Stegostoma tigrinum: one gene and its partners. The protein of the gene in region 2 purifies or fractionates together with the protein of the main gene of each other region. This does not show direct contact. Links are inferred from orthologs where the notes say so. Each region holds a gene or a part of one and is shown on either strand. Other genes may lie near its edges.

Region 1 (7,950 bases), on a different chromosome or scaffold from region 2:
TTACTTACTCTGTTAGATAAACGCTAGTGTCAAATAAGCATAAATAATCACCACTACATTCTCCCACTCTCACCTGACAACCAGCCCAAAAAGACATTAGAAATGAAGTAAGCGAGCAAGTACGATACAAATGTCCAACTTGTATCATGTAAACCACGAAACGGGAACATAAATGTCACAACTATGCAGCCCCCAGCAACACTGCAATTTCTCAAAGGGCAAATCTAAATTAGATTGTTTTTGAATTCAAAAACAATCTAATATGAATTAATGAACAATGTGGTACTGCGGTCATACACAATTTTGAATCATTTCAGTTATGAAACTTTGAATTATAGGTCCTCTGAGCTAAATATTTGTATTTTAGCAACAACCTTTCTCACACTTTATTCCAACACCTTCCATGACTTCAGTCCATAAAGATAGCTTTTTGACAACATGGCAACATGTACCGTCAAAACGAAATGATGCAAGGAAAGAGCAGATTATATCAACTGAACCATAGAGCAGGACATCAATTTTGAACGTGTCCACGTACGTGAAGAATATACATACATGAATATGCTTGCGTTTTACCTCCTGACTAACAACACACCAAGAGGGTGCACATCGGTGATCTCATTCTGTCAGTGAAGCCCCGATCTTAAAGCTAGGGTTTAAAACACACTCTCAGAAAACAGTTAGTAAACTTGAACAAAATGTGGTCAACTCATTGGAAGCCTTGGTCAAACATGTTACCCGATCATTTTGAAATAAGTTGCAATGTTTAAATTATTTTAATCTGATTACTGAGTAGGGTTGAGTATAGCTCCATTACTTCAGCAAATAAATTTACCCTTGCTTATAAATTTATGGAAATAATAACATCACTAAGAGCTTTTTTACTTTTCACTGCTGTGACTGAGAGAGAAGTGAGTACCTCAGCATTAGCAGTCTGAAGGAGAGAAACATTCAACATTTGTGTTGCATTGTAAATGTAGTAAAACATTTACATCCAGTGCAAAGGACCTTATTCAGATAATAAAAACTGGTCAAAAACAGGATTTTTTTCCTGGATATACCATCCAAGGAAATGCATTGCTGTTTCACACTAATCTCCCACACAACTTTTATTTCATAAGAACTAGGTGCAGGAGTAGGCCATTTAGCCTCTCGAGCCTGTTCTGCCAATCAATACAATCATGGCTGAGCTCATCTTGGCCTTCCCTGCCAGCTCTATGTAACTCTTTGACCCAGTACTAATCAAAAATCTGTCCATCTCCTCAAAACTATTTAGTGTCCTGGTGTCCACCTCACTCTGGAGTAGTGAATTCCACAGATTTGACAGTTCTTTGGGGAAGTAATTTCTCATCTGTTTTAAATGTGCCACCCTGTAGTCTCAAAACTATGACCTCTCATTCTCCAATGCACCACAACATCTGCTCTGTCTACTTTGTCAACCCACTGTAGCATCTTGTAAACCTCAATTAGATCATCTCTCATTCTTCTAAACTGCTCAATCTCTCTCCATAAAACAAACCCCTCATTTTTGGAATTAATGTGGTGAGCCTCCTACAAACAGCCTCTAATGAAATTACACCCTTCAAAGTATATAAAGAATCAGACTTTATGCAAGGCACCATTTTCCTTTAGGAGTTCTCCAATTAATTACATTTTGGCATTCTTTCCTTATGGCCTGATAATTTCTTGTTCCCTTTCCATGCCTCCATCAAAGCTTGTAAAGCACACTATTGTAATTATATGAGCCTCCAGCACTTCCTCTGGCAGCTCATGGCAAACGGGGTTAGATTAATTTAGGAAACTTGGTCAGCATGGACGAACTGGACTGAAGGGTCTGTTTCCATGCTGTATATCTCTATGACTCTACGAACATTGAAATAGGAGGCGGCCACTTGGCCTCTCAACAGGATTGTGGCAGATCTGATTACTCCACATTCCTGCCTAAACCTAAAAACCTTTTACTCCTCACCTTTCCACCTCTGCCTTCAATGTATTTAAAGGCTGTTTCCACCACCACCTCAGGAAGGGAGTTACTCTGACAGCTACACCTTGTCTGTTTTAAATGACAAGTTGTTCATTTTCAATCTAGTTTAGGATAATCCCAGAAAAGGAAACATCCTTTCCACATACAATCCGCCAAGACCGTTCAGGATCTCCGGGGGGGGGGGGGGGGGGGGGGGGGGGGTACTGGAGAGTCTGGGAGGGGGGGGGGTAAGACTGGAGAGGAGGGCAGGAATGGAGTGGGGGTTGTGAAGTGGGGGTGGAGGTGTGAAAGGGGGGTGGGGAGTGTTGGGTGTGGGGGATGTAGAGTGGGGGGGGTGAAGCGGAGGGGGGGTTGAAGCTGGGGGGCGGGGGGGGGTTGAAGCTGGGGGGGGTTGAAGCTGGGGGGGGTTGAAGCTGGGGGGGGTGGGGGGGGGGTTGAAGCTGGGGGGGGTTGAAGCTGGGGGGTGGGGGGGGTTGAAGCTGGGGGGGGGTTGAAGCTGGGGGGGGTGGGGGGGGGGTTGAAGCAGGGGGGAGGGGGGGATGAAGCGGGGGGGGTGGGGGGGGGATGAAGCGGGGGGGTGGGGGGGATGAAGCTGGGGGGTGGGGGGGGTTGAAGCTGGGGGGGGGTTGAAGCTGGGGGGGGTGGGGGGGGGATGAAGCGGGGGGGGTGGGGGGGATGAAGCGGGGGGGTGGGGGGGATGAAGCGGGGGGGGTGGGGGGGTTGAAGCGGGGGGGGTGGGGGGGGTTGAAGCTGGGGGGGGGGGGAGGAACGGATGATTCGGGGGAAGGTTTTGCTCAGGCTCTGGGCGCTAGATCAATGCAGGGAGCGGGCAGATTCGCGCAGAGGCGAGAGCCGGAAGGTTCCGGCCGGTTTCCCTCCCGCGCCCCCGGTACCTGCGGCTCCGGCTCCGGGAAAGAGGCGGCGGCTCCGAGCTCGGCCGTTACCGCGTGTGCGTCAGGAGGAAGTGTCCGGCAGCGCGGCGTCACACTCTAACCGGTCCCCCCCACCCCCAAACCGCCTCCTCCAAAGTCACATTCTATCCGCTTCCCCGCAGCGTCACACTACATCCGGTCCCCTCTGCCCCTTGCTCCCGCGTGTCTCACACGATGGGATTTCCTCTTACACCCCCCGGGTGTCACACTCTAACCAGCCCCCCCGGGTGTCACACTCTAACCTGCCCCCGGATGTCACACTCTAACCAGCCCCCGGGTGTCACACTCTAACCAGCCCCCGGGTGTCACACTCTAACCGGCCCCCGGGTGTCACACTCTAACCAGCCCCCCCGGGTGCCACACTCTAACCTGCCCCCCCGGGTGTCACACTCTAACCAGCCCCCGGGTGTCACACTCTAACCTGCCCCCGGATGTCACACTCTAACTAGCCCCCCCCGGGTGCCACACTCTAACCTGCCCCCGGATGTCACACTCTAACCAGCCCCCGGGTGTCACACTCTAACCTGCCCCCGGATGTCACACTCTAACCAGCCCCCCCCCGGGTGTCACACTCTAACCTGCCCCCCCCCGGGTGTCACACTCTAACCTGCCCCCCCCGGGTGCCACACTCTAACCTGCCCCCGGATGTCACACTCTAACCTGCCCCCCCCCGGGTGTCACACTCTAACCTGCCCCCGGATGTCACACTCTAACCTGCCCCCGGGTGTCACACTCTAACCTGCCCCCCCCCGGGTGTCACACTCTAACCTGCCCCCCCCGGGTGCCACACTCTAACCTGCCCCCGGATGTCACACTCTAACCTGCCCCCGGATGTCACACTCTAACCTGCCCCCCCCCCGGGTGTCACACTCTAACCTGCCCCCCCCCCCGGTAAATGTTTAACCTGAGGGGCGGGGCTGAGCGGTTTTGTCGGTTTCAGGCCCTTCGGCACTGGGATAGTTTTAGTGTGAGGCGGGGACGGAGCCAGGAGGATCCTTTTGGCCCCTTTATGGGAGGCGCAGTTCTGGACCAAACAAAAAAAATCAGAGGTTGGCGGAGGCCGCTCGGCCCATTGAGCCTGTCCCGCCATTCAGTGAGCTCACTTACCCCAGGCCCCTGCTGACTCCACCTTCAACATCGTTCTCCCTCCGGGCTGATCGCAAACCTTCACCTGTGGAGGTGCTCGTGTTGGACTGGCCGAGGCCAGAAGCCACGTGACACCAGCTTGGAGCCCAACAGATTTATTTCGTGTTCTGGAGTTAACCTGTTTAACTATAACCTGGTGTCGTGTAACTTCTGACCAAAACTGTGTGACCTTGACCGCGGTCCCGCCCTCTGGCCCACAATCAGTGAGGTTGGTAACTGCACCTCCTCCACAATAACACTCCACTCAATATCACTCAAATTCTTTGAAGAGGTAACAAGTAGGTTAGACCAGGGAAACCCAGTGGATGTTATCTATCTAGACTTCCAAAAGGCCTTTGATAAGGTGCCTGACGGGAGGCTGCTGAGTAAGGTGAGGGCCCATGGTGTTCGAGGTGAGCTGCTGGCTTGGATTGACGATTGGCTGTCTGACAGAAGGCAGAGTTGGGATAAAAGTCTCTTTTTTGGAATGGCAACCAGTGACAAGTGATGTCCCGCAGAGTTCAGTGTTGGGGCCACAGCTGTTCACTTTATATATTAATGATCTGGATGAAGGGTCTGGGGGCATTCTGGCGAAGTTTGCTGATGATACAAAGATAGGTGGACAGGCAGATAGTACTGAGGAGGTGGGGAGGCTGCAGAAAGATTTAGATAGTTTAGGAGAGTGGTCCCGGAAATGGCTGATGAAATTCAATGTGAGCAAATGTGAGATTTTACACTTTGGAAAAAAGAATACAGGCATGGACTATTTTCTAAACGGTGAGAAAATTCACAAAGCAGAAGTACAAAGGGATCTGGGAGTGTTGGTCCAGGATTCTATAAAAGTTAACTTGCAGGTAGAGTCCGTGATTAAGAAAGTGAATGTAGTGTTATCGTTTATCTCAAGAGGGTTGGAACATAAACGCTTAACTGGTCTTAACCCTGTACACCTACAGCTGCGTTGCAAATTTTGAACGAACACCATCTACAATTTTGCTGACAACACACCATAGTGGGATAGATATCTAACGAAGACGAATCAAAGTACAAAAGGACTTAGAGAGACTTTTATTTGATTGATTGATTTATTGTCACATGTACCAAAGTACACTGAAAAGTTCTAATTAAGACCGGTACAGGCAGATCACACCAAGCAAAGGATGTAGAGATTAACAAGACTTAGAGGCATACGGGCTACTTTATTTGAGTCGAAAGTCCATTCAACAGTCTGGTAAAGAAATAAGCTGTTTCTGAATCTGCTTCTGCGCGTGTTCAGGCTTCTGTATCTTCTGCCTGACAGAAGAGGCTGTAGGAGATCATTACTGGGCTGTGATGGGTCTTTGATGACGTTGGTCGCCTTTCTGCAGCAGTGAGCCGTGTAAATGGATGGAAGATTGGCTTCCATGATGGGCTGAGCTGTGCACATCCACCTTCTGTAGTTTGTTATGGTCCTGGGTAGAGCAGTTGCACCCAGACAAGATGCTTTCAGTGTCGCATCTGTAGAAGTTGGTGAGGGACATTATGGACATGTCAAATTTCCTGACCGCTTGTGGAAGAAGAGGCGTTCTTGTGCCTTTCTGACTGTCGCATCTATGTAGGAGGTCCAGGACAGGTTATCGGTTTTTGTGACTCCGAGGAACTTCTCGTTCCTTCTTTCTGAAGTTGATGATCAGTTCTTTAGTTTTGCAGACATTGAAAGACAGATTGTTTTCATCACGTCACCAAGAGGTCTGTCTCCCTTCTGCATTTTGACTCGTTGTTGTTAGATATGCGTCCCAGTTGACTGATGTCATCAGTGAACTTGTAGAAGGGAATTTTATTTGGAATTTGGCAACACAGTTGTAGGTGTACAGGGAGCACAGTAGAGGGCTGAGGCTGCATCCCGGGTCGGGGCGGGGGTGTGGGGCTTCAGTGTTGAGTGTTATTGTAGATAAGAGCTTATACATTTTAAAACAAAATATGAAGAAGTTGTTCATATTAGTTGCAGTTAGAATGCAGCTGGGTATCATTGAAATTGCATTGTGATTTGCAAAATGTAGAACACATAATAAGCCATCCAATATTCATATTAGGCAGAAATTCCAGCTGATAGTAACAGTGATAAAGTTCTACTCAAAAGAAATGGACTCATTTAGTCATTTGAGAAAATGAAGGTTGTCTAGAACTCTGATCTCCACATTCCCCAAAATTGCCATTTGGTGTATATCATAAACATTTCGGCACATATATCTGGATCATAAAGAAAATTTCTTTGTACTGCCAAGCGAAATAAAAAAGCCAGAATTGGAAATAAGTGAAAGAAACAGGGTGAGTGAGAGAAAGAGAAAGGGAGATAGAGAAAGGTGAAAGATAGGGTGTATTCAGGCATTCATTTTCTGGAAAACCAATAAAAATACTGAAATATATTAGAAACTATACTTTCATAGTAGAAAAATGACCTGTTTCCATGACCTATTCAGGTAACAATGTGCTGGGCCACAAAACTGGTTACTTCAATTCTTTTTAAACACCTGTTTCAAAGGCCATGCATGTTTCTTGGAAATGAGGAAAGGCATCAATTGTGACAGCGTGTGTAGAAAAGAATCTTGTTTTCAGACGGTATCGTTCCCTAATTTTTGAAGAGGAACGTTATTATATCATTAACAAAATTAAAATGAGTACTGTCAAGATCTATGTTCCATTATCATAGATGACAGCGTGTAAATTGGACTTTGTAGCTTCAAAAAATCCTTCCAAAAAGGGGGTCAATTTATTTCACAAGAATAAAATGTGACCTGCCGGTCTTGCAACAGGAGGATCTATTTCTCTTCGTTGAATGCTATGGGTAAAGAGGGTGGTAGTTGATGGGAAATGTTCATCCTGGAGACCAGTTACTAGTGGTGTACTGCAAGGGTCGGTGTTGGGTCCACTGCTGTTTGTCATTTTTATAAATGACCTGGATGAGGGCGTAGAAGGATGGGTTAGTAAATTTGCAGACGACACTAAGGTCGGTGGAGTTGTGGAGAGTGACGAAGGATGCTGTAGGTTGCAGAGAGACATAGATCAGTTGCAGAGCTGGGCTGAGAGGTGGCAAATGGAGTTTAATGCAGACAAGTGTGAGGTGATGCACTTTGGTAGGAGTAACCAGAAGGCAAAGTACTGGGCTAATGGTAAGATTCTTAGCAGTGTAGATGAGCAGAGAGATCTCGGTGTCCATGTACACAGATCCTTGAAAGTTGCCACCCAGGTTGACAGGGCTGTTAAGAAGGCATACAGTGTTTTAGCTTTGATTAATAGAGGGATCGAGTTCCGGAACCAAGAGGTTATGGTGAAGCTGTACAAAACTCTGGTGTGGCCGCACTTGGAGTATTGTGTACAGTTCTGGTCACCGCATTATAAGAAGGATGTGGAAGCTTTGGAAAGGGTGCAGAGGAGATTTACTAGGATGTTGCCTGGTATGGAGGGAAGGTCTTACGAGGAAAGGCTGAGGGATTTGAGGCTGTTTTCATTAGAGAGAAGAAGATTGAGAGGTGACTTAATTGAAACATATAAAATAATCAGAGGGTTAGATAGGGTGGACAGGGAGAGCCTTTTTCCTAGGATGGTGACAGTGAGCACGAGGGGGCATAGCTTTAAATTGAGGGGTGAAAGATATAGGACAGATGTCAGAGGTAGTTTCTTTACTCAGAGAGCAGTAAGGGAATGGAACGCTTTGCCTGCAACAGTAGTAGATTCGCCAACTTTAGGTACATTTAAGTCGTCATTGGATAAGCATATGGACGTACATGGAATAGTGTAGGTTAGATGGGCTTGAGATCGGTATGACAGGTCGGCACAACATCGAGGGCTGAAGGGCCTGTACTGTGCTGTAATGTTCTATGTTCTGTGAGGTGTAGTTACCTACCCTGACTGATTGTGGTCTGTGGGTCAGAA
Region 2 (7,216 bases):
GACTTTTCAGAATTTTGTAATTATTATTAATAAAGCAGATATATTCAGTTTTAGGATTGGACAATATGCAATATCTCAAAGCATCTATTCAATTTTACAAAAGAACTGAACTTCTGGCTAATGGCATAATTTCACTGTTTTGGGTTTAACATTTTATCACAAATTCTAAAAATGATGTCAAAATGCATATTAAAACATTTCATAGCATCAGGATCACTTACAACTTATTCCTTATTCAAAGACTATTGAAAGACTTCATATATTGTGAATAGCTTTGGATCGTAATATTTTCATATTTTGAATCATTAAAGGCAGTGGTTTCATATCCTGCTTTTAAGCATTAATGTACAGTTTGATGCAAAATGCTACAGGTAGATAAGTTCAGAGTCATACAGCAAGGAAACAGACACTTTGGTCCAACTAGTCCACACCGAACATGTTTCCAACCTAAACTACTTACAACTACTGCATTTGGCTCACATCCCTGCAAACCTTTCCTATTCATGTACCCTTGTAACTGAACCTGCAACTACCACTTTCTCTGGAAATTCATTCATACAATATCCACTGTGGAAAAAAAAATGTTGACCCTCACGTTCTTTTTAAATCTTTCTCCTATCTTAAAAATGCCCCCTAGTTTTAAATTCCACCAGCCTAGAGAAAAGACCCTTGTTATTCTCCTTATCTATGCCCCCTCATGATTTTATAAATCCCACTAAGGTTACCCCTCAAACCTTCAAAGATCCAGTAAAAGCCTCAGTCTTCCCACTCTATTTTTATATCTCAAATCCTCCATTCCCGGCAACATCCTGGTAAATCTTTGTTGAAACCTCTCCAGTTTAATAATATCCTTCCTATAGCAGGGCCACCAGGACTGAACACAGTACTACAGAAGAGGCCTCACCAACGTTCTGTGTAACCTCAACATGACGTCCCAACTCCTATACTCAAAGATCCGAGCAATGAAGACAATTGATTATTCAGACTTTAACGTTCATTTTGATTTCAAAGCTCATACAGCTCAGAGAACATTTAAGCTGTCTTTCTCTTAAAAATGTATTAGAAGCTTGCATAATCTGGTTTATAGTGAACAATTAAATAATTCAACAATTCTGTAACCAATTAGCAAAAAAGTAAACTTAACTAGATAACAATATAATTCTTGATTAAAAAGATATGGTAAGAAAAGTAAAAGTCCCATTAGACAATGAAAGAATTATCAATTTTAGATAATGTTGATAATATTGTTTTGGACTAAATGCAAATCCTAATTTGAAGACTCCAATATATAAAGACATGATCCTCTGTTAATTTCATGCAGTTGTTTTAGTTCTAATTCTTGAAAACAAAACAATCTAATTTGAAGCTGTTTAGACTTAAAACTAGTTCATGTAGTTAACAATGTACTAGTCACATTGTGTTTACATGCCCAGACAATAATTTAGAAATGTTATTTCACAACTTTAGTTGCATTCTAACTGTTTTATGTTTTGACAGAAAAAAAGGAGGCACAAAGGAAATGGAAAGAACATAATCTGATTTTTATTTTTGTGAAGAATATTCCAAGTAACTTTTAAATTACTTTTCCATCAGATTCTTTGGAAACATTGCCTAATGTTATGAATTTTGTTTGAAATATTTCAATAAGCTACAATTATTTGCTTTGTCTAAATATAGGTTACATTTTTCAATAGTATTGAAAACAAATATCACAGTATACAATGCTTTAAAATGACAAAATTAATTTACTTTTGTACTGAATTTATGACGAAGTTACACTTTAATATATATTAATCTATTAAATCCATTGTCAAAATTACCTTGGCTATAATAAATTTGTGCAATATTTTAAAATCACATTATTTGCAAATATTTTGATCAGGTTTAAGCTTCACTGTTATTTATCCTTGTAGAGCGATGGTTTTACTCAACAATAAATAATTTCAAAGTAGTTAAGGAATTGCATTTGTATTGTTAATCGTGACTACAATATCTACACAAAGAATGAAATGTGCAACGTGCAGAACAAAGTGAGATTTGCTCTCACAAAAAGTAAGTTGATCAATTCAACATGTTTTTAATACATATTTAGAAGATAAAGAACAAAAACCAATACCCTATAAGCTTTTCAAAAGCGTTGAAATGGTTATAGAGGTGGCATTGCTTTATATTTTCTTAAATCTATGCGGCTCTCTGTAGAACCACTGATGTTTTAATTTGAAAACAAAACTTCAAATGTGTTTATTCAAAGTACTTTACCATTTTTAATGTATGTTTTCATGTTAAAACATTAAATATTAAAACAGTACAACATATAGGAATTTAAGATAATTGAAAAGTCAACATAAAGACTTTTTACTGAAACATCGAGTTGTTATTTGACATTTTGTTTGAAGATGGAAACTTATAATAACATAGTGCACTTTAACTGGTAATAAGAATTTAGTTTGACATCAGTTTTTCATAATTTCAAAATGAACAACATTGACACCTCTGGTATTTGAAATTGATTTAAGTAGAGGTGGATGATTATGGGGAATGCAGACGAAGCTTTAAGGAACAGTAGAAAGTGTGAACTTTGTGGTAGAACAAAGATTTGAAGCATATCACAACTATAATAGAACATATTAACTTAGTTTTTCTCTTCTGCCACAAAATAAGTTCCAAAGTGTCAGATCTTGGATATAATAATCTGTTCATAATGTATTATTTCTTTAACAACAATTTTTGGGAGTTTTTTTAAACAATGAAGCTCTTATAAAGCCCTACGTTCTATTTGCCCCTCCCCCAGTTTGAATTTTCATTTAAAGTGAAGCTTTGGTTATTGAATTGACCATTTAAACATGGTAATCAAATTAAATGGATATTTTAATCTTTCAGTAAGCTGGTAAAAGATATATGAAACAATTTATTTACTTACACCACACAGTAATTTCCCCCAATGAGTCCAAATGGGACGGCACACCACACGATTAAAAATTAATACTCAACCGAATCACCAAATTAACATTTTCTTTTTCCTTGGCTAGTCCGATTATCAATCGCACTAAACACGCAGCAAATACAATTTTAAAAGTATTTTGTAAATCAATTACATCAATAAATACGGCATATATTTGACTTCAATCCACATACTTCAATTTCCCGAAGATTGCTATAACGTTCCAGGAATTATAATCGGCAAACGGAACATGAAATCGGAACAAAAGATTTTGAAGCAGTTAACGTAAACGAAATAGCACGATTAACTTCAGTTTTGAATTTATGAAAACGTGCTAAGCGCTCGTACGCTACCTATCATCTAGTCCATTAAAGTGGACAGCTAGAGTCATGAGGAATGATCGCAAGGTACAACTTCATTCACTAACGATTATTTTATTTTTATAACGAAATTACCCCCTCGTGCCGGGCGGGGAAATTATTAGATGCGTCCGTAAAGAGCGAAGTGGCTTTGCACAATTTTTAAATCGACAATACCGAACTTCACACATACGCGATTGCCAACAAAGGAGACGGGTTTGAATCTCGGATGTAGATTTTCGTTCGTTCTGAACACTTCCGCCAATAAAGTTGTGCAATGTGAATTTAGTTAGCTATTTTTCCAAAAAACGAAAACGTTCTTTTTTTAAGAAGAACTGCGCCAACGACAGCTCAGCACGAGTTATTTTAAAAAATAATTCTGATACGCTTTTATTTTTTTTAACAAAACTTGCCTGTGGGCACACATTTAAACAAACGACCTTTGAAAATAAATCAAAGACCTGGAGTTCCAATATTTTATAGAGGTAACGTCGCCTCGTGTGAACAATAGTGGAGTTGCCGAATAGCGTAAGAAAACGTCGAAACTGCTACAACTTTCAAAAGATCACTTTCGACCAACATTTCAATGAGATAATGTAATTACCCATTCAGTGGATCCCATCAACCAACCAAAATCTGGGGGTAAAAACGTCGTTTAATAATAAAAGAACAACGTCTCCAATAATAAAGGAGCAGCCATTGCAACGTATCGGTTTTGGCACGACCCGATTAGACATCTCCTGAACACGGTATCGTTACCACATTATTCAGCTTTAAACAGGGAGGGGACGCAAAAGATGGGCAGATCACAGCGAAAATGCACTCCCTCCCCCGCCTCGCCTCACACAACCAGCCCCAACCCCCACCGATCAACCAGACCAATAACTCGCATAACCATCACCACATTGGGGAACTGCAACAGTCAGGAGAATTTTCGCGCCATCGCCCTTGTAAATGGCAGCCTGATCTAAGCCAATGAATGAAATTTGCAGGCAGAGAGGGAGAGAGAGCAAAAAAAACTTGGTCAATGGTAGCGAGGCTGGAGACGCTTGATAGGATCCTAGAGTCAAGCTGTGTGCGAATGAGAAGACGGAAAATGGGAAGAGGGAAAAAAATGGAGAGCGCTCCAAACTACTATTATTCCACAATCAATATGTTTCTCGGATTCTTGGAGTACAGCTCGTCCCTCCCTCCGTTTCTCTCCCAGTATCATTGAATAGCTGGCATTCCTCACGTGAGAAGTTGATATTAGTTTGACCACGTGGCTCATTCAGCCGGAATATTCGGGGATTTTTTGGAGCTGCATTTTATTCAGAGGCGGTGCTAGTAGTAACGTAGTGTGACATTTTCACAGCCTGTTTGCGAAAGGGGTTTTGGGGGAAAGACAAAAAAATAGTTTTTTTCTCTCTCCGAAGCCCGCCATTCTAGACTGCTAATACTACTTCTGGGGATTTATTTTATCATCGCGTGTATTTTTTTTGTAAGGACTCTTCTCGCTCCCATCTTTATATTTAAATCGACCGATTATTTCTCCAAAGGGAAGATAAGGACGGAAGGATCTTTGTCTTTTTTTTTGCAGTTTTAGCAACATGAACAAGCTGTACATTGGGAATCTCACCGAAAACGTAACCACTGTGGACTTGGAAAGTCTTTTCAAGGAATGGAAGATTCCCTTCACTGGACAGTTTCTGGTGAAATCTGGTTATGCATTTGTCGATTGCCCAGATGATAACTGTGCTATGAAGGCGATAGATACTCTGTCAGGTAAGCGAGTTAATCCCTTGTAGTCTAATATTACCTCAAGTTTTGAAACAAACAGTCGTGAACCTTGTTTGGTGGGAGGCCTAAGGCAGCTCCTTGCGCACCAGTTTCGCACAAATCGACTGGGGGCGCGGGCGAGACGAAGCTGCTTACACCCGTGTGTTTTGCAAATATCCACTCCTCGTATCTACACCTAAACTGGATTTTCTTGTGACGTTCGCACAGAAATTGGGTTTCTTTTTAACCTAATCTAAATAACATTTGGAACCCCCACCCGTTATTCCTCTGCATCTGCACGCGGTCTTTTCTTTCCCCCATTGAATTGTTACACTTCAAGCGTTCAGTGGATTGACAGTAACTATACGGGGATGCATTCTGTACAGGATTCTTTAATTTGTCAACTCTTTATTGATCTTGTGTAATTGGGCTGGGGTCGGAGAATTCGGCCCGTGTTGTTGTACCTTCTTGGTGAGAGTAGGCCTTTAATAACTCCAGCGGCAGCTCGGAGCCATCATTCAAATCAGTGCGCACCGGGAAAGGAATACGCACTTCAAATCTTATACTTCTGACAGAAATAAAGACAAATGAAAGCTCACTATCCGAAAACTATTGACAATATCAATTTTTTTTTCATTCGTTCCGTCCCCCAGCGCGAACGCATTTGTAGTCGGCCATACTGAGTCCCAAAAGTGTCCTTTAGCACTCGACCACTAGAAAAATGGCTGAGAATTAGAGCACAGCAATTGAGTTCACGTTTTCTTAAAAAAAAATTTCAAATTGTACTTGTTCATATCAGTTTTGTGACTACAGTTGACCGACTCCTTTACGTTCTACGCCGAACTTTCTTGTCGACACTGTTCCGAGATTTGTAACATAGTTGCCCAGCAAGTTGTTGTTCAACTGCAAACCTAACGCTTAAGATCAACAGAAGATAATTAAAAATAATCTTGGCTGAACGGTCGATTTTAAACGTTTTCAAGTGCTTAATACGCATTGTATTTTGTGCTTTGCTTCAGGTAAAGTTGAGCTGCATGGGAAATCTATAGAAGTGGAGCACTCCGTTCCTAAACGACAAAGGTAAAAGAAACTTTAATTCGTATCAGATTTCTTTCCGATCAGAGAGAATTAGACTACAACTGACTAATTAGCGATTATATCTGTTTGGAATTCAAGGTTATCTTAAACCCTACGAGTCTCTGGGATCCGTCTACTTAAGTTAGAAACTAATTACCGTTTGAATCTCGGATACTTTTTTTAAATGTCCCTTTGTACTTTTGTTTTGGTTTCTAGTTGAATTCTTTTATTTCTTTTATATATCACTGGAGTATTTGATCAAAAATATTTTATTTGAGAAGACACCAGAACACACTTCTAGTTTTAAAACGAGACCTGGTGCAGTGTTTTTTGAGAAGTTTGGGCGTCAGCAGGAAATGATCTGAGATGCTTTGCATCATGCTAATCGACAAACACGTGAGGAGCTCTCAATTTAAGAGCCAACAAAACGAAAATCACAATTCAATGTTTCCTCTATTGTCCACGAAATGTAAGAGATCATTTGATAGGGAAGGGAATTAATTCTTGTGTATTTGTTGCTTCACGTGAACCCTAATGTGCAATCGATTGTTCATCGATCTTAAAACTGTGCATTAAGATTATTCAAAAATGTTGTTACCAAAATATATAATTGATATTGTATGGAGTGTTGAGGTTAAACATCAATATTTCACTCTAAGGCTAATTTGACAGTTCTAAAACAGGATTTAATAGCTTTAGAAAGCAATGCCAACTGTTGGCTTTTTAAAATAAAGATCACTATTGGTTTGAACGTTCCATATGGATTGATAGAAGTTGAATTGTTTGTCACAGGATGCTTTTGTAATACAAAAATTACTAGGTTAGTTTTTGACCTATTTCCTCACCTGGCTGGCTTCAAGTTTCTCAGTAGAAAAAACAAACTTTTGAGGACCAGACTTAAAATGAGATTTGATTTCATTCACTCTTCAAAAGATGCCTCCATTCTTTGTGCTTCAGCTTTTGGTTTAATGTAACTTTACAGATTTACATGGAGTGTCATGAGGTTACGTCTGAAGGTTGTTGAAAATGCTACATTTGTGTGTGAGAGAGAGAAATGCTTGAATGGGCAAAATTTGGCATG
Region 3 (7,772 bases), about 20 Mb from region 2:
GACAAGTGCAAAATAGACAAGCTCTTTACAAACATCTATGAAGAAGCATTTGCATTTATGCCACGCTATTCAAGACCACCGGGTCTCCCAAAGTGCCTTAGTCAAAGTTGATAGCCAGAGACTATTTCCCAGGGCAGAAATGGCTAGCACGAGGGGTCATAGTTTTAAGCTGGTTGGTGGAAAGTATAGAGGGGATGTCAGAGGCGGGTTCTTTACACAGAGAGTTGTGAGAGCATGGAATGCGTTGCCAGCAGCAGTTGTGGAAGCAAGGTCATTGGGGTCATTTAAGAGACTGCTGGACATGCATATGGACACAGAAATTTGAGGGTGCATACATGAGGATCAATGGTCGGCACAACATTGTGGGCTGAAGGGCCTGTTCTGTGCTGTACTGTTCTATGTTCTATGTTCTATTTGAAGTGTAGATCCTGTTGTAATGCAGGAAATTTGATAGCCAACTTACAGGCAAAGTTCTCAACATGTGATGACAACCAGATAGAACAGTACAGCACAGAACAGGCCCTTCAGCCCACGATGTCGTGCCGACCATTGATCCTCATGTATGCACCCTCAAATTTCTGTGACCATATGCATGTCCAGCAGTCTCTTAAATGACCCCAATGACCTTGCTTCCACAACTGCTGCTGGCAACGCATTCCACGCTCTCACAACTCTGTGTAAAGAACTTGCGTCTGACATCCCCTCTATACTTTCCTCCAACCAGCTTAAAACTATGACCCTTCGTGTTAGCCATTTCTGCCCTGGGAAATAGTCTCTGGCTATCAACTCTATCTATGCCTCTCGTTATACCTCAATTAGGTCCCCTCTCCTCCTTTTCTCCAATGAAAAAAAGTCCGAGCTCAGTCAACCTCTCTTCATAAGCCCTCCAGTAGAGGCAGCATCCTGGTAAACCTCCTCTGAACACTCTCCAAAGCATCCACATCTTTCCTATAATAGGGCGACCAGAACTGGACGCAGTATTCCAAGTGCAGTCTAACCAAAGTTTTATAGAGCTGCAACAAGATCTCACGACTCTTAAACTGAATCCCCCGTTAATGAAAGCCAAAACACCACATGCTTCCTTAACAACCCTGTCCACTTGGGTGGCCATTTTAAGGGATCTATGTATCTGCACACCAAGATCCCTCTGTTCCTCTACACTGCCAAGAATCCTATCCTTAATCCTGTACTCAGCTTTCAAATTCAACCTTCCAAAATGCATCACCTCACATTTATCCAGGTTGAACTCCATCTGCCACCTCTCAGCCCATCTCTGCATCCTGTCAATGTCCCGCTGCAGCCTACAACAGCCCTCTATACTGTCAACGACACCTCCGACCTTTGTGTCGTCTGCAAACTTGCTGACCCATCCTCCAAGTCATTAATAAGAATTACAAACAGTAGAGACCCAAGGACAGAGCCCTGTGGAACACCACTCACCACTGACTTACAGGCAGAATATTTTCCTTCTACTACCACTCGCTGTCTTCTGTTGGCCAGCCAATTCTGTATCCAGACAGCTAAGTTCCCCTGTATCCCATTCCTCCTTACCTTCTGAATGAGCCTACCATGGGAAACCTTATCAAATGCCTTGCTGAAGTCCATATACACCACATCCACATGTTTGTGATTTTGACAAAGAACGTATATTAACCAGGAGTAATTCTATGGTTGTCTCTCAAGAAAATACCCCACTTTATTTTCAAACATCTGACAGGACAGCCAGCACCTATTTAACATCACATTAAAAAAAGTGGTATCTCTGGCAGGTTAAGACTCCCCGCTGGAGCATCAGCCTGATGTGATGCACACAAGCCCTATAAATAGGACTTAAAGCCAGACCTGGGATTCCAAAGCAGGCATGTAAAATGCAACTCATTAAATACACAAATTTCTACTTTTGGTCTTCTATACAGTTCAATGTAACAAGATTAAGAGAACAGTGTTGTAATTCTACACACCTCAGCCCTCTGGCCACGGGGATTTACAACTTCAGTAGGAACTGCTGCTCATGTAGGGTGAATGTTGTCAGCACTTCTCAGGCATCAGTGAGAAGTGCATCATGGAGGCTTACAGTTGATGCAAAAACCCTCCAAACTACTGTTTTTGCACACCCCCCCCCCCCCAAATCTCCTGCAGTTTATTCTCTCTTGGTAGGTTTTTCTGATGCTTTTTAATCCAATCTATCTCAAGTCATCTTCCCCCAAGACGTTTCTGAAATCACCTTTCCTATACAAAAGAACCAATTTACCCACTTTACCTGTCACCTTCCAGGAAGGCTTTTTAGTCTCTACAATGATTCAGAACTGCATAAAACACTAAGTGCTCATTCTATAATTGCCTTCAGCAACTCCCCTGCAAAGACAAGTGTGTGTGTGCTGAATTTTTTTGGTATTGAAAAGATTCAAACCTTCTAGATGGTATAGTAAACGTAACGCAAATATGGAACGTTTGAGATTACCGTTTATTAAAAAATCGGGTTCAATCCTGAAATGTTAGTGAACATTCAAACTTCTCAAGAAGCAAGACAAGTCTCTCTTTAGATATCAACGGACGAGTTGACATAAAAAAACTGCTGTAAAATATCGAGAAAGACCCGAGAAGCGCAATATCCCCCATATATTTCACCTACACTCGACTCCTGCTTCCCAGTAGCAACGGTAAAGCCCGCAAACAGGCTGCGATTACCCACCATTTTCGGCGCGGCATCCCCATTTGCTTCTATCACCATAGGATCTCAAATCAAACCTTTCAAAATTGTACACTGAAAAAAATACGCTACGCCACCCTCCCCAACCCTCATTTTTTCTATCCCTTACCTCCATCCTGCTCGAAAAAATAATTTTTAAATAAAAATGCTATACTTCAACTCAAGCGCTTCGTAAACAACGCTATATCGATAAAAAATTGCGTTATATCTAAAGAAAAACGAGTAAACAGACAAGCTGTGACGCACAGCCTCCTCGACACAGCCACCACCGTCGCCGCTCAATTTTCTAGAACCTTCTCTCAGTCCTACAAAATGGCCGTTCGTTAGTCACGTGACGCCAAGTTGCCAACGGCAAATTTGGTGACGAAACCGGACGAGGATCGAAAAAGATTTTCCGAAAATAAAAGAAAATTTGTTTATAGTACAGATCTGAAAAATTATTTTTAAAAGAAGTATCACCCTTAATTGAACACACTAATTAAGCCTCAGGGGCTTCTAAGGGAAAAAGTCGAAACAGCTTCGGGTATGACGCAATTTAGAAATCGAATTTTTAAGTATATCGCAGACATTTTTGTTTCGTGGGACATTATCGTTTTTTCAGTCAATATTCGGTTGAATAGTTCAATACAATCTGCCAAAATAATTTCCTAAAAGTGATTCTTGGTCACGTGACGGGCGGGTGGGCTGGCTCCGAAATGATTAGTGTTTCGATAAGGACTGTATTTTTTTTATTTAAAAGATCTAGGTTTGGTTCTGTGCCTCGTAGGCGTGTACTCGTGAATAGTTTATGTTAAGTTATTCGATAAATTTTGGAAAACGGAGGGAGTGCTGGTTGGAGGTGTGCGCAAGCGCGTTGTGTCAGCGCGTGTTTTGGCGGGACCGAGTGAACCTCAGAGAGGGAGAGGGAGAGGGGGAAAAGAGAGAGGAAAAAAAAGTGGAAAAGAAAAATAGAGAGACAGAGGGCGGGCAGTCCGGACAGCCAGCGGAGCACATCAGGACTGAATTGGGCAGGTAGGGCAGGCAGCAGCTAGTGCGCCAGCTAGCCAGCCGATCAGTGCTTCACTCTTACTTCCATCCGCTGACTCGTAGTGAGCGCGGAGTGCGGGCCTGGTAGCACTGCAGAGCCGCTCGAGAGCAATCAACCAACAAGCTGATTTTTTTTTTAAAACTTCCATCTCAATCGAGTCGGGTACACCAAAATTATCTAGGCCCAAACTCCTGGCCAGTGGCGGGAGCGAACGGAAGTCCGTGTAACAATCCAAGGAGGCCGTGGTTCATTTGTTTTGGTCGTGAAGGTTTCTAGGACTTGTGAACTCTCTGCCTGCCCCTGTCGGGTGGGTGGCGAGGTCGGGTTTCAACCTGTAAACTGGGGGGAAATGCACCTTCTTTGATTCATAGACCTAAGAGATTGACATAAACTTTTGTTAACAATTGCCTTGGATTTTATCTTCTGTCGCTGTTCCTGCGCCGGTTATTTATTTAAGGTTGAGGTAATGAGTTAAAAGGTAGTTTAAATGAGACTCCAATTCCTTAATGTGCGGAAGTCTTTGTGTTTTAATACTGTAAATATCGGTGTTTAGTTATCAGTTTGTAACTGGCATTTTTTTGTGATTTAATAGGATCCTTGTATGTGGAAATTCAGGACTTGAACCTTAGCATTCTTACGAAGTGCGCATTCTTTATTTTTCATTATGAAACGATTCTTTGCTACTGTCGCATTTTTTTAGTCTGGTCGTTGTGGTATGAGGAGGGGGTTGGAAACTAGGAAGATGTAAAATGGTGACCTAGTGTTCCTTAATGTTAGATGTTTTATATATGTTAGATAATTTTGAATTCAAAGAGTAAGAGTAGTTTAATGTTCTTGGTTTTTTTTATTGCTGTACTTTAACTTTTTAAAATCTGGCTTAGAAGTTTGTTTTTTTAAAACAATTGGGATTATTAGATAGAAGTCTGTAATTTGAATCAAATGCTACACAAGAGCAAGTAATTACATTGGAATTGGTTTGTATTTTTGCTTTTGGAATGTTTATGTTCATATGACTGATCATGATTAGGTTGGTATAACCTTTGCCATCTTGCACTATGTATCCCTTTTCTATTTAAACGTATTTCTAATTTAAACACATTTTCAAATAGTTACTATCATGTTTACTCCAAAATGTAATGTTTGAAATGCTGACTTTATACATGTGAGCAATTGCTGATTATTCTTTCCTAGGGGCTTGAGTAGGCGGATACAAAGTAGAAGATGACCACGGTTGAAGATTCCTTTTTTTCTCCTATTAGCCTTGTTTCTACTAGTGAGTTAATCCATGTTTACAAATAATAAAAAGAAAATGCATCATGTTATATCCCATTTACAGTATTTAGCCATTTGACCATATTTAAATTAACAAATTAAAATTTGTTCATATACTCCTAGGCCCCAAACAATGAAAATCTGAGTTCCTGTTGTGGTCCCAGGTGTGCCATTCTGACTTCAGAATGAGGTTAACAATTTATCTTGGGACACAGACTTTTCAACACACAATTGACACTCTTCAGCAGATAGTTATTGTGCCACTTGTGATGTTGGAGTTGATTAAAAGAGTTACAAAATGGCAGATTTTTATAATTGTGAATTAAGGATCTGCTGAAATCAAACAAAAAAAAACTTCAAATTCTCATAGTCAGCAGCTGGATAAGGACCCTGCATAGAGCTAGTAAGTGGGGAATATCATGGATGTGTTCAGTGGAGCTAGGAAAAAAATGCTCATTTATATATTAGATTTGTTATTGGAACCTAAATATGCTAAATATCCTTGCAGTAATGTGTCTAACAAAAACATCTTGTGAAATATTTGTCTGAAGTTGCAAGCTTCTGCAAATATGCTCTCCTAACTTCTATCTTGACAGTAAAGCAACTTCTGCAATGTGGTGGTACGTTACAGTTTACTCCATGCTTGGGTTGTTACGATAAAATGCACTCCTGTGTGCATTTTGTAGTTTGGAGGTGTGAATGATAGGCACATGATGGTAGCGGCTCCAAAGTTCTTTCCATTACAGGGCTGACGAGGAGTCTTTCCCATTCTAACTGCTTGTTGGTGTATGCTGCTGGGATTTAAGCAAGTAATGCTGCTAATGTCCCAAAGGACCATAAAGCTGCTCCCTCATTAGAGAAAGGTGACTGATAGGTGACTTTAGCTTGGGTCACTATGTATTCGTGACCTTAACCATTGTGGAAATTGAACGAAGATGGTGTTGTTCTCTATCACATATCAGCCATCCAACCAAGTGAGCTAACATACTCTCTGGAGAAATTTACAGGGTGACATTCAATCTGTTTGGCCATTTTATGATTATTCCTTTCTTAGTCATTTAAGTTCTGGTGGGATCATTGAAGCTAGGATTTCTAGCCTAGAGGCAGAAATGCCACCCATTCCACCATGTTTACCTCCTTTGAAAGCTGTACCTAGTTTTGGACTGAATTCAGCAGTGAAACTCTTCTCCACTTGCCCATTTTACTTTTGTACCGTGAAGTTCTAAACTGTAGTCAAAAAAATGTCATTGTGAATAATGGAAATCTGAAATTTAGATCTGCGTATTTTATAAGTTGTTTGTTTCGCAGCAAGATTACTTTAAATCCCTTCTACCCAAGTATGGCCAATACTAAAAACAAAAGTTTGCTACTGTAATTTCATAAAATGTGAATGATACAATTGAATGATTATACTTGGCTATGGAATCAACTGTTGACAAACCAGCATTTAATATTTTCTCATTATTGCACTTTTTTTTGTTGAACAGAAGGCAGATAAATTTATTACCTACCCAATTCCTTCACAACTCAGTTTAAATTAGTTTTTAAAACTTGAAGGGATAGGAGTGTTGTTGAAATGCTTTTGTTGGGTTTAATCATTAATGACAAAGTGATAATATTTATTGATTGTAGTAATGTTTTGATTTCAGGATACCCTATAGGGCATAAATTCTGACACTTTTTTTTCCTTTTTCCACTGCTACCCTCAATCTCTATTGCTAGTTTGCAGATTTGAAAATGCTTTCCTGTGTCTTGCTCAGACATTTATTTGTGTATGATCCTTAAAGTTTTATATTCACAAACTGGAAAAGGGAATTCCTAGCTAAACTTAATTTTGTTCCTTTTAATAATAATGTGCACACCAGGGTTGTGAAGACCTCATGCTCTTTGCCCATCTTAACCCAGAGGTACTCAAATCAGTCATATATTTTAGTACTGGCTATCTGAATGCACTTCTATCCTCAGACATCTGATTTGCCTGGTGCATCTATTTGATGCATGAGTGTATTGAGCCAGTGAAGAAATCTCTTCGCCATTTTCAAAAAAAAGTTAAGCGGTCACCAGGGTTTTTTTCACTCCCATTATTGTGTCTGTGTGTGAGATATTTGGACAGTCGTAAGGCAATAGTATTTTGTCCATTTTGGTTTTTAGATGGAAAGGAGAGGAACAGGCTTTGTAACTATTGCAAGGTAAATTGCAGCAAGTTATTTCTAAGTCACCTTCGTACTGAGTTAGCGAAATGGTTTTTAACTTTTTAAGACTGTGGCATCCTAGAGAAAGGGAATCTCTCAGATGAATTTAGTTCAGTTCCTGCTGAACGTATGTATGCATTCATACTTGTTTGCAACTCCTACTGCAATCAGTATTTGCCTGTATGGTCAGATTTTCCTCCTTAGCCCAGGGGCACTACCTGGAAACTTCTCATGCCAAGCACGAGAGAGATTGAAGCATTTTCTCTCCTATTTCCACATTGCTTAATTAAAGCAAATGCGCTAGCGTGGTGACTTAAAAAATAAAATGAAATTGTAGTTGGAATCTTAGTAGTTCAATAGGTTAGACAATCTCCTTTTGCATTTCAGAGTTTGGCAAACCTAAGATTGTTTAGATGACAATGCCATTTATTATCAAAAGGGTTAGTCTTTCATAACGGGCACAAATCCTTGTACATTGGCTTAGATTTTGATACTAATTCTATGGGAGTAATTGTGGACTCTTGACTTTTCACACCATCCCAATTGCTGTTGCAAATCTCTTTACGGTACT

Evidence for each region. Proteins that work in one complex are often made in the same cells at the same time.
Region 1: the proteins of igf2bp3 (region 2) and g3bp2a purify together in Homo sapiens (affinity purification with mass spectrometry; 3 studies listed by BioGRID and IntAct, with this or other methods). This does not show direct contact. The link is inferred for Stegostoma tigrinum from reciprocal best matches to the Homo sapiens genes IGF2BP3 and G3BP2.
Region 3: the proteins of igf2bp3 (region 2) and heterogeneous nuclear ribonucleoproteins A2/B1-like purify together in Homo sapiens (affinity purification with mass spectrometry; 4 studies listed by BioGRID and IntAct, with this or other methods). This does not show direct contact. The link is inferred for Stegostoma tigrinum from reciprocal best matches to the Homo sapiens genes IGF2BP3 and HNRNPA2B1.

What each region holds. Positions count from the first base shown.
Region 1 is NC_081354.1:2,799,216-2,807,165, reverse strand, and holds the start of g3bp2a (ras GTPase-activating protein-binding protein 2), read right to left. Parts: upstream 3,022-7,950; 5' UTR 2,878-3,021; intron 1-2,877.
Region 2 is NC_081355.1:76,370,981-76,378,196, reverse strand, and holds the start of igf2bp3 (insulin-like growth factor 2 mRNA-binding protein 3), read left to right. Parts: upstream 1-4,215; 5' UTR 4,216-4,534; intron 4,535-4,540; exon of another isoform or gene 4,541-4,879; 5' UTR 4,880-4,889; coding exon 4,890-5,064; intron 5,065-6,077; coding exon 6,078-6,138; intron 6,139-7,216. UniProt on the Homo sapiens protein: RNA-binding factor that may recruit target transcripts to cytoplasmic protein-RNA complexes (mRNPs). This transcript 'caging' into mRNPs allows mRNA transport and transient storage.
Region 3 is NC_081355.1:56,506,909-56,514,680, forward strand, and holds the start of heterogeneous nuclear ribonucleoproteins A2/B1-like, read right to left. Parts: upstream 3,022-7,772; 5' UTR 2,826-3,021; coding exon 2,820-2,825; intron 2,787-2,819; exon of another isoform or gene 1,962-2,786; intron 1-1,961. Other genes in the region: chromobox protein homolog 3-like, read left to right, coding at 4,959-5,010. UniProt on the Homo sapiens protein: Heterogeneous nuclear ribonucleoprotein (hnRNP) that associates with nascent pre-mRNAs, packaging them into hnRNP particles.